Linked DNA regions of Struthio camelus. The protein of the gene in region 1 binds, or shares a complex with, the protein of each later gene. Links are inferred from orthologs where the notes say so. Each region holds a gene or a part of one and is shown in the gene's direction. Other genes may lie near its edges.

What was found.
Region 2: POLA2 (region 1) and PRIM1 share a complex: the UniProt entries of both Homo sapiens proteins name them as parts of the alpha DNA polymerase complex. The link is inferred for Struthio camelus from reciprocal best matches to the Homo sapiens genes POLA2 and PRIM1.

Annotation. Positions count from the first base shown.
Region 1 is NC_090976.1:815,396-819,833, forward strand, and holds the start of POLA2 (DNA polymerase alpha subunit B), read left to right. Parts: upstream 1-1,736; 5' UTR 1,737-1,803; coding exon 1,804-1,906; intron 1,907-3,807; coding exon 3,808-3,935; intron 3,936-4,011; coding exon 4,012-4,097; intron 4,098-4,301; coding exon 4,302-4,356; intron 4,357-4,429; coding exon 4,430-4,438. Other genes in the region: CAPN1 (calpain-1 catalytic subunit), read left to right, coding at 137-253, 438-496, 586-612. UniProt on the Homo sapiens protein: Accessory subunit of the DNA polymerase alpha complex (also known as the alpha DNA polymerase-primase complex) which plays an essential role in the initiation of DNA synthesis.
Region 2 is NC_090969.1:362,452-366,889, forward strand, and holds PRIM1 (DNA primase small subunit), read left to right. Parts: upstream 1-1,405; 5' UTR 1,406-1,460; coding exon 1,461-1,563; intron 1,564-2,102; coding exon 2,103-2,260; intron 2,261-2,333; coding exon 2,334-2,440; intron 2,441-2,531; coding exon 2,532-2,605; intron 2,606-2,862; coding exon 2,863-2,999; intron 3,000-3,081; coding exon 3,082-3,140; intron 3,141-3,216; coding exon 3,217-3,326; intron 3,327-3,405; coding exon 3,406-3,497; intron 3,498-3,568; coding exon 3,569-3,713; intron 3,714-3,778; coding exon 3,779-3,848; intron 3,849-3,931; coding exon 3,932-4,008; intron 4,009-4,087; coding exon 4,088-4,186; intron 4,187-4,272; coding exon 4,273-4,292; 3' UTR 4,293-4,436; downstream 4,437-4,438. Other genes in the region: retinol dehydrogenase 16-like, read right to left, coding at 42-354. UniProt on the Homo sapiens protein: Catalytic subunit of the DNA primase complex and component of the DNA polymerase alpha complex (also known as the alpha DNA polymerase-primase complex - primosome/replisome) which play an essential role in the initiation of DNA synthesis.

The DNA of each region.
Region 1 (4,438 bases):
GTCCGACTGCGCCGCCACGGATTTGGCCGCGCTGCTCCGCGGGGACCAGCGCTGCGCCTGCCGCCACACTCCAGGTGCGTCCGGTGCCGGCTGCAGCCTTCTGCTTTCTCCGTGTTGGTTTTTTTTTCGGCAACAGGCTTTAAACTGAACAAGAAGCTGCATGAGCTGATCATCACCCGCTACGCGGAGCCGGACCTGGCCATCGACTTCGATAACTTCGTCTGCTGCTTGGTGCGCCTGGAAACCATGTTCCGTGAGTGGCCTTTTCCCTTTTTCCGGCTGTTTTTACCACCTGTAGTGAAGAGGAAACGAGCGGTCTCTGCTTTCCGGACTGTTTCATGGCATTCGGAAGGGGGGAGATGCTTCCCACAGGCCATGATTTTGAGGATTAGAAGGAATCGTGTTGATTTTTTCCCTTTCCCCTTCTGTTGCCGCAGGGTTTTTCCAAGCGCTGGACGCAGATAAGGACGGAGTCGTCACTTTTAACTTGTTGAAGGTAGCTTCCGGCTCCGCTGGCGCGTTGGTTGCGGCTCCGGGTGCCACTGGGCCTCGCTCTCACCCTCCTTTCCCTCCTCTCCCTCGCAGTGGCTGCAGCTCACCATGTTCGCTTGAAGCGGAGCCGCTCGCCCCCAGCCCACGGCGCCATCTCAGCTGCCAAGTGCCTTCGCGGCAGGAGCCGGCAGGGGAAATTTCTCCTCCGAGCTGCCCCCCTCCCCTCCCGGCACCTTTCCCCGCCTCGCTTCCGGACACACGGAAAACGGTCTCTTCCCGGGTCTGCCGCTTCCTCCCACGGACGCTCCGGTTTTCCCTTCGGCTACTACCGCTGGCTTTCTCGTTGTGGGATTAATGGAGTAAAGAAGCTGCGGCTCTCGGTGGATGAGGGCGTCGGATCGCGTCCCCGAAACCGCCCCGCGCTGTCCTCAGGCGTCCCCGCCGTCTCCTCGGTGCCTTCCCTGCCGTTTTCCAGCTCGGTTGCCTTAGCGGTTTGTCAGCAAAGTGCTTCGTGTCACCCAGAACGGCCCTTTTTGGTCTCCTTTCTCTGTCTCTCTGCTGCAACCCTGGACGAACCCCCTTCCTCAGGCTTCGCCTCTGGCCGGGGGCTAGCGCGCTTAACGCCGCCGCGAGCACTGAAATGCAGGATATCCCTCTCGCGCTTACCTCCTGGGTACTGTTTTGTCGTTTTGTTGTTTGTTTTTTTTACTGTATAAACTTGTTTTAATGGCGTTTTAAAAAAAAAAAAAAAAAACAGTCTTCTTAAAGCTGCCCCTTGCTGAGTGGTTCTTCCCGGCCCCCGGGGTGGGGTAGCTGGCCACCATCTCCCTGCCTCCCTCGGGGGAGGAAATGGGGTGTTTTTACCACCTGCCTGCAAAATATATAATATATTGACAGAATTTTTTTTTCCCCTCCCTGTTTTTGAGTAAAAGGCCGGCGTGGGGCCCGGTTCCCGGCCGCTCCTGTCATGGCCGCTCCTGTCACGGCCCGGCGCCCCCTCAGCGTCGCGCTGCGCCACAGCCGGGGCGGGAAACTCTTCCCGCCTTTTTCTTCCCCCCCCCCACCCCGTGGGGGAGGGGGGAGGACAGGTGCCGGCCACGCCCCTGAGGGGAAGGCGGGACGGGCGCACCGCCCCCTCCTCCCATTGGCTGACCGCCCTGTCTCGTTTGCATAGCCGCGCCCCCAGCGCTGCTCCGCCCCTCACCGCCTTATAAGGCTGGGGCTCCGCCCCTCCGCGCGCTGCCGTCAAGCGCGGCGGTGTCGCGCCCGCGCGGGCTTTTCGCCGCGGCGGCGGCGGTGGCGGCAGGAGCGATGGCGGCGGCGGCGGTGGAGGAGCCGGTGTCGGCCGAGGCGGTGCTGCGGGAGCTGGGGCTCTTCGAGCTGGGCTGCGACGGCGAGGACGTGCCCGCCAAGCGTGAGGGGGCCGCGGGGCGTCGGGGGGGGGTGGCGAGGGGGTGTGGGGGGGTGTTGGGGTTCGAGGGGGTGTTGGGGTTCGGGGGGGTGTCGGGGTAGTTGTTGGGGTTCGAGGAGGTGTCGGAGGGTTGTTCGGGATCGAGGGGGTGTCGGGGGGTGTTGGGGTTAGGGGAGTGCTGAGGGGGTGCTGGGGGTCGGGGGGGTGTTGGGGTTCGAGGGGGTGGGGGGGTCGAGGAGCGTCAGGGGGGTGTTGCGGTTAGGGGAATTGTTGGGGTGTCGGGATTGTTTGGGGTCGAGGGGGTGTTGGGGTTAGGGGAGTGTCAAGGGGGTGTTGGGGGTCGAGGGGGTTTCGGGGGGGTGTTGGGGGAGTTGTTGGGGTTCGAGGAGGTGTCGGAGGGTTGTTCAGGATCGAGGGGATGTTGGGGGGGGTGTTGGGATTAGGGGAGTGCTGAGGGGGTGTTGGGTGTTGGGGTTCGAGGGGGTGTTGGAGGGTTGTTCGGGGTTGGGGAGGGGCTTTGAGCAGTGTTGTGGTTAGGGGAGTGCTGAGGGGGTGTTGGGGTTCGAGGGGGTGTCGGGGTTGTTGGGGTTCAGGGGGTGTTGGGGGTTAGGGGAGTGTCAGAGAGTGTTGAGGTTTGGGGGGTGCTGGGATCAGGGGAGTGTCAAGGGGGTGTTGGGGTTCGAGGGGGTATCGGGGTTGTTGGGGTTAGGGGAGTGTTGAGGGAGTGTTGAGGGAGTGTTGGGGTTTGGGGCTGTCAGGGTTCGAGGGGGTGTCAGGAGAGTGTTGAGGTTTGAGGGGGTGTTGGCGTTCCAGGGGATGTCAGGGGGTGTTGGGGTTGGGGGGTGTCGAGGGGGTGTTATGATTTGGGGCTGTTAGGGTTCGAGGGGGTGTCGGGAGGATGTTGGGGTTTGAGGGATTGTTGGGGGGTGTTGAGGTTTGAAGGGGTGTTGGGTTGTTGGGGTTCGAGGGGGTGTCGGGAGGATGTTGGGCTTCAGGGGTGTTGAGGGGTCGTTGGGGGCTGCTGGGGTTCAAGGAGGTGCCGGAGGGGTTGTTGGGTTCTGGGGGGGGTGTCGGGGGGAGGGTTGTTAGGGTTTGGGGGTAGCAGGAAGAGGTGGGGGTTGGGGGTCACAGAAGGGTTTGGGGTTTTTTAGGGGTGTTAGGAAGGGGATGGGGTCTTGGGGGTGTTGTTGATCAGGTTTTAGGGGTATCGGGTGGGAGCTGATGGTGTCTAAGAGGTGGGTCACGGTTGGGGGGTGTCGGGGGTGTCAGGATTTAGGATCAGGGAGGGATGGGGGTTGGGGGTACCGAGGGTATTTGGGGGAGAGTTGAGGGTATTGAGGAAGGTGTTTTGGGGGGCGTTGGGGTATTTGGGGAGGGTCGAGGGAATCAGGAAGGTGTTCTGGGAGGTATTGGGCATGTTGGGAGGGTCGGGGGTATCAGGGAAGGCGTTTTGGGGGGGGTCGGGGTATTTGGGGAGGGTCAGGGGTATTAGGGAAGGCGTTTTGGGGGTGTTGGGAAGGTCAGGAGTATCGGGAGGGTGTTTTGGGGCGTGTTGGAGTATTTGGGCAGGGTTGGAGGTATCAGGAAGGCATTTTGGGGGGTGTTGGGGTGTTTGGGGAGGGCTGGGGCCAGGGAAGGTGTTTTTTGGGTGTTGGGAGGATCAGGGGTATCGGGAAGGTGTTTTGGGGGGTGTTGGGGTATTTGGGGAGGAGCAGGGGCATCAGGGAAGGTGTTTAGGGGGGCGTTGGGTACGTTGGGGTATTTGTAGGGGGTATTAGGGACAATTTTGGGAGCTCCCGGGGTTCGGGGGCGTCAGCGCTTGGGGGGATAGGAGGGAGGGTGTTGGGGTTCAGCGCTCGGGGTGGGGGCGGGCGCCCTGCTGACCCCCGCCCGCCCCCCCGCAGTGGTGGAGCTGTGCCTGGCCCACGGCCTCAGCCCCGTCACCCTGGCTAACGAGCTGCTGGCCTTCGTCACCAGCAAGGACTTGGGCACGCTGCTCACCGCCGACGGCCTGGCCGCCTTCGAGCACGAGGTGGGGTCCCCCGCGCCCCCCGCCCCAACCCCTCCCCAACCGCCGCGGGCGCTCACCCCCTCTCCGCCGCCGCCAGGTCCTCGCCAAGCGCAGCAAGAAAATCCCCCGGAGAACGGACAACCGCTACGCCGGTCTCCGCGACATCCATTCCCTCCAGGAGCTGTATCCTTCGCCGGAGCTGTTGGAAGGTTTCGGGGGTTGTCATTTAAGAAATATACATTATATATATTTTAATCGTGCTGCGGGCGGACGTCCCGGAAGCGGCGTTCAGCCAGGGTGGGGAGAGACCCCCGTTCGCGTCCCCTTCCTCGAGCCTGGCGCCGTTCCCGCCTCCGGTGGCGGCGAAACCTCCTTAACGAACGGCAGCCTCGACGAGGACGAGGAAGAGGAGCTGCTGGACGCCTACGCGACGCCCTCCAAGGTGAGCCGGCGGCTTGCGCCCGGCGCCCGCGCCCGGCTCGGCGGCGCCCCGAAACGCCCGCTCTCTCCCGCAGGGCTCGCAG
Region 2 (4,438 bases), on another chromosome or scaffold:
CAGGAGTGCCTGGACACGCACAGCAGGCACCGGGGCCGTACCTCGGTCTCCGACCTGTCCCTCAACCCAGGCAGTGGCGGCAGCGATGCTCTGGCTGGAGGTGACGTCCAGGACGAGGGTCTGCAGCCGGGACGAGGCGGCCGCCCGCAGGCGTGCGGCCCCCGACTCCGTCAGGCACGCCGCCAGCACCCGCAGCCCCCGCGCGTCCAGCTGCCGCGCCAGCAGGTTGCCGAAGCCCGAGTCGCAGCCCGTGATCAGCACGTATTTCTCCGTCAGGTTCGGCACCCGCTGCCGCTCCAGGTACCACCGGCGCAGCAGGTACAGCCCCACCAGCACTGCCAGGTACAGCCACATCCTCGTGGGTGATGCTGGGAGCGCACGGGGTGACGGGGAGAGGGCTGCGGGTGACGGATGCGGCCCCGCGGTGCCAGACGCGTGCGGCTGGGACGGGAACGCTGCGGCTGGTGGCGTCCGCGCGAGTGCCCAGCCCCGGACTGCGGTCGGCTGGCTCCAGGTGGGACGGAGGTGGCTCCCACCCCCCCAGGCCGCCCCCGGAGTGGTCTCGTGGTGCTGCAGGAGCTTGGTCCCAGACCCGCGGCTTCATGCCATCGCGGGGAGGGGCTGGGGACGGCGGGGCCAGGGCACTGCCCTGGCTCTGCTGTTGGCTGCAGCTGGAGGGGAATCATTAACCAGGGCTGGGTCAATGTCCTGGGGGCTCTTCACCCCGGCACCCACACCGCGTGCACGGGGCTGGGTGCACCTTGCACCGCCCGCACCCGCCACTGCCCTGTGCAGCCTGTGCGTCCTGCAGTGCTCCGTGCACCCCGCAATCCCCTGCGCCCCCCTGCAATGCTGTGCACCTCCTGCAATCCTGTGCACTCCCCATTGCTTTGCACCCCACAGCCCTGTGCAACCCCCATGCTGCCCCCATTGCTGTGCACCCTGCAGCCCCGTGTGCCCCCCCAATGCTGTGTGCACCCTGCTATCTCATGTGCCCCCCCCAAATCCCGTGTTTCCCCTGCAAGGCCGTGTGCCCCCCCCAGCCCCGTGCACCCCAATCCTGTGTGCTGCAACTGCGTGCGCCCCAATTCTGTATGCACCCCAATCCTGTGTGTCCCCCAGCCCCATTCACCCCAATCCCGTGTGCACTCCCAGCCCCCTGCACCATTGCAAGGCCGTGCGCCCCCGTGCGCCCTAATCCCCCGTGCGCCCCCCCCAGCCCCCGGTGCCCCGTGTGCCCCCCGTGCCCCGTGTGCCCCCCGTGCCCCGTGTGCCCCCCAGCCCCGTGTGCCCCCCGTGCCCCGTGCGCCCCCCAGCCCCGTGCGCCCCCCAGCCCCGTGCGCCCCCCAGCCCCGTGCGCCCCCCCCAATGCCGCGCGGCCCGGGCCGGTCCCGGACTACAGTTCCCGGCGGCCCCGCGGGGCACGTGGCGCCGCCGCCCCCGCTCCCGCCGCTCCCGCCATGGCGCCCTTCGAGCCGGCGGCGCTGCCCGAGCTGCTCCCGGTTTTCTACCGGCGCCTCTTCCCGCACGGCGCCTACGGCCGCTGGCTCAGCTACGGCGGCGGTGAGCGGGGCCGGCGGCGCCTGCGATGAGCGCGGCGGCCTCAGCGGCGCAGGGCGGGGGGGGGGGGGGGGCCACGGCGGTGCGATGGGGGGGGCGCTGGGGTGCGGTGCAAGGAATGGGGGGGGGGTCCAGGGGTACATTGGTTGGGGGGGGTGCAACGAAGGGAGTCCTGGAGGTGCACGCAATGAGTGGGGGGGCCCGGGGGCGCTGGGATGGGGTGCAATGAATAGGAGGGGTTCAGGGGTGCAATGAAGGGGATGCTGGGGTGCAGGGGATGAGTGGGGGGGTCCCGGGGGCGCTGGCAGGGGTGCAGTGGAGGGGTCCCCCTGGGGACCCACCTGTGGAAGTGGGGGCCTGGGAGCAGTGGACAGGGGGGCCCCGGGTGCAGGCGATGAAGGGGGGACCTGGAGGGGTGACAGCAGGAGGGGCTGCGAATGGGAGGGTGCTGGGGGGGCGTGTGATGAGCGGAGGGTTCTCAGCAGCGCCGCAGCGGGGGGCGGCAGGCCCTGCCCCAGCCCATGCCGGCCGCGCCCCCGCAGCGGCCAAAAACTACTTCCAGCTGCGGGAGTTCTCCTTCACGCTGCGGGACGACGTCTACCTGCGCTTCCAGTCCTTCGGCAGCCCCCAGGAGCTGGAGCGGGAGCTGCAGAAAACCAACCCCTACAAGATCGACATTGGGGCCGTGTACTCGCACCGCGTGAGTCGGCGGCGGCAGCCGGGCCGGGGGCGCGTGCCGCGGGCACGGGCTGAGCCGGCTGCCTTCCCCGCAGCCCAACCAGCACAACACGGTGCACCTGGGCGCCTTCCAGCCGCAGGAGAAGGAGCTGGTGTTCGACATCGACATGACGGACTACGATGATGTCCGCGCGTGCTGCAGGTCCCCGGGGCGGCCGGGCGAGTGGGGAGGGCTGGGGAGGCGCCCGGCGCTGCCGCCGCACGCTCCCGACCCGGCTCCGCTCCGCCTGCAGCTCGGCCGAGATCTGCTCCAAGTGCTGGACCCTGATGACCATCGCCGTCCGCGTGCTCGACCGGGCGCTTGTGGGTGAGCCCCCCAGACCCCGCGCCACCCCTCGCCTCGGGCGCTTTCCCATGGGTTTTTAGGACGTGCTCGGCTGCAGTTTGCGTTGCAATAGCGTCTGCTGCCGCGGCGCCCGGAGGGGGGCGCGATGGGCGGAGGGGAGCAACGGCAGGGATCCTGGGCATGCGCCCAGGGGTGCAACGGCGGGGTGCTTTCTGGGGGCTGTGCCAGGACCGCCGCTTCCCGCGGCCCTTGCTGGAGCCCTGCTCTTTCCCCTGCAGAGGACCTGGGCGTGAAGCACCGGCTCTGGGTGTACTCGGGCCGCCGGGGCGTCCACTGCTGGGTATGCGACGACACGGTGCGCAAGTGGTCGCCGGCGCTGCGCGGCGCCGCCGTGGAGTACCTGTCGCTGGTGAAGGTGGGTGGGCGGCGGGGCCGGGGGGCGGCGCGGGGCAGCCCACTGTGCCCCAGGCCCGGCCTCACCACCGCCATCCCCCCAGGGCGGCGCGGAGACGGTGAAGAAGGTGGCGCTCTCAGAGCCTGTGCACCCCTTCGTCAGGTGGGTGAGATGCGGGGCCGGGGCGGGCGGGCGGGCGGCGCGGGGCCGGCCGGGGCTGAGCCGCCTCTGCCCGCAGGCGCTCGGTGAGCGTGGTGGAGCGGTACTTCGCCGCCTACGCCCTGGAGGGCCAGGACATCCTGGGCAGCCAGGAGAGCTGGGAGAAGGTGCTGGCCCTCGTGCCAGAGGATATCCTTTCCGGAGCCGCCGCGTTGGGAGCGGGAGGGGGGTCCGGCAACACCCGGCGAATGGCCTTAACCGCCGGCACAGCACCGTGACGTGCTGCGGAGCGAATTCCCCAAGAAGAGGGACTCGGCGCAGCGCTGGGAGCTGCTGAAGGCCAGGATGGAGCGGACGCGGGTGAGTGTGGCGGGGCAGCGGTGGGACCACGGTGGTGGCAGTGGTGGTGACGGGCCCCTCCGCCGTTGCAGCGCCCTGCGGGCCCCGGGAAGAGCCTGCCGTGCTACGCAGACTGGGAGATCATGCTGCAGTACTGCTTCCCCCGGCTGGACATCAACGTCAGCAAGGGCGTCGGGCACCTGCTCAAGAGCCCCTTCAGTGTCCACCCCAAAACAGGTAGGTCCCGGCCGCCCTGCGGGCCGCCCCGCGCCCGGCCCCCCCTCACCCCCCAACCCCGGCAGGGCGCATCTCGGTGCCGCTGGACCTGCAGAGGCTGGAGCAGTTCGACCCCTTCGCTGTCCCCACCATCAGGTAGGTGCGTGCCGGGGGGTGGGGGGGGTCCGCGGCAGCAGTGGGGGGTGGCCACCACCTCCCGCCGCGTCTCTCTCCCGCAGCTCCCTGTGCCAGGAGCTGGACGCAACCAGCGAGCTGGAGGACGACGGCGACACAGAGCCCAAGCGGCGGCCGCGGGGTGAGCGGGGCCGGGCTGGGCTGGGGGGCTGCGGGGGAGTCCCCATTGCCCCGGCCCCGCTCAGTCCCGTCTCCCGCAGACTACAAGCGGACGAGCCTGGCGCCCTATGTGCGGCTCTTCGAGCAGTTCGTGGAGGGCATGGAGCGCGCCCGGCGCGGAGAGGCGCTCCGGCGGAGCGGTGAGCACCCGGCGACAGCCCACTGCCCCTGCCCAGGGGGAGCTGCTCTTTCTGGGGTAAAAACCCCCCATTTCTCCTCTTTCCAGACCTGCAAGGAGACTTCTGAGCCAGCGGCCGGGCCCCGCATCCCGAGGTCGAGCCGTCTCCCTGCCACCCGCCGTGCCCGACCCCCTGGCCCAGACCGGCCCTTCCTGCCCCCCTTTTTGTACTTTTTTTGCACAAAGACCATTAAACAGCTCTGTTGCCTCCGCG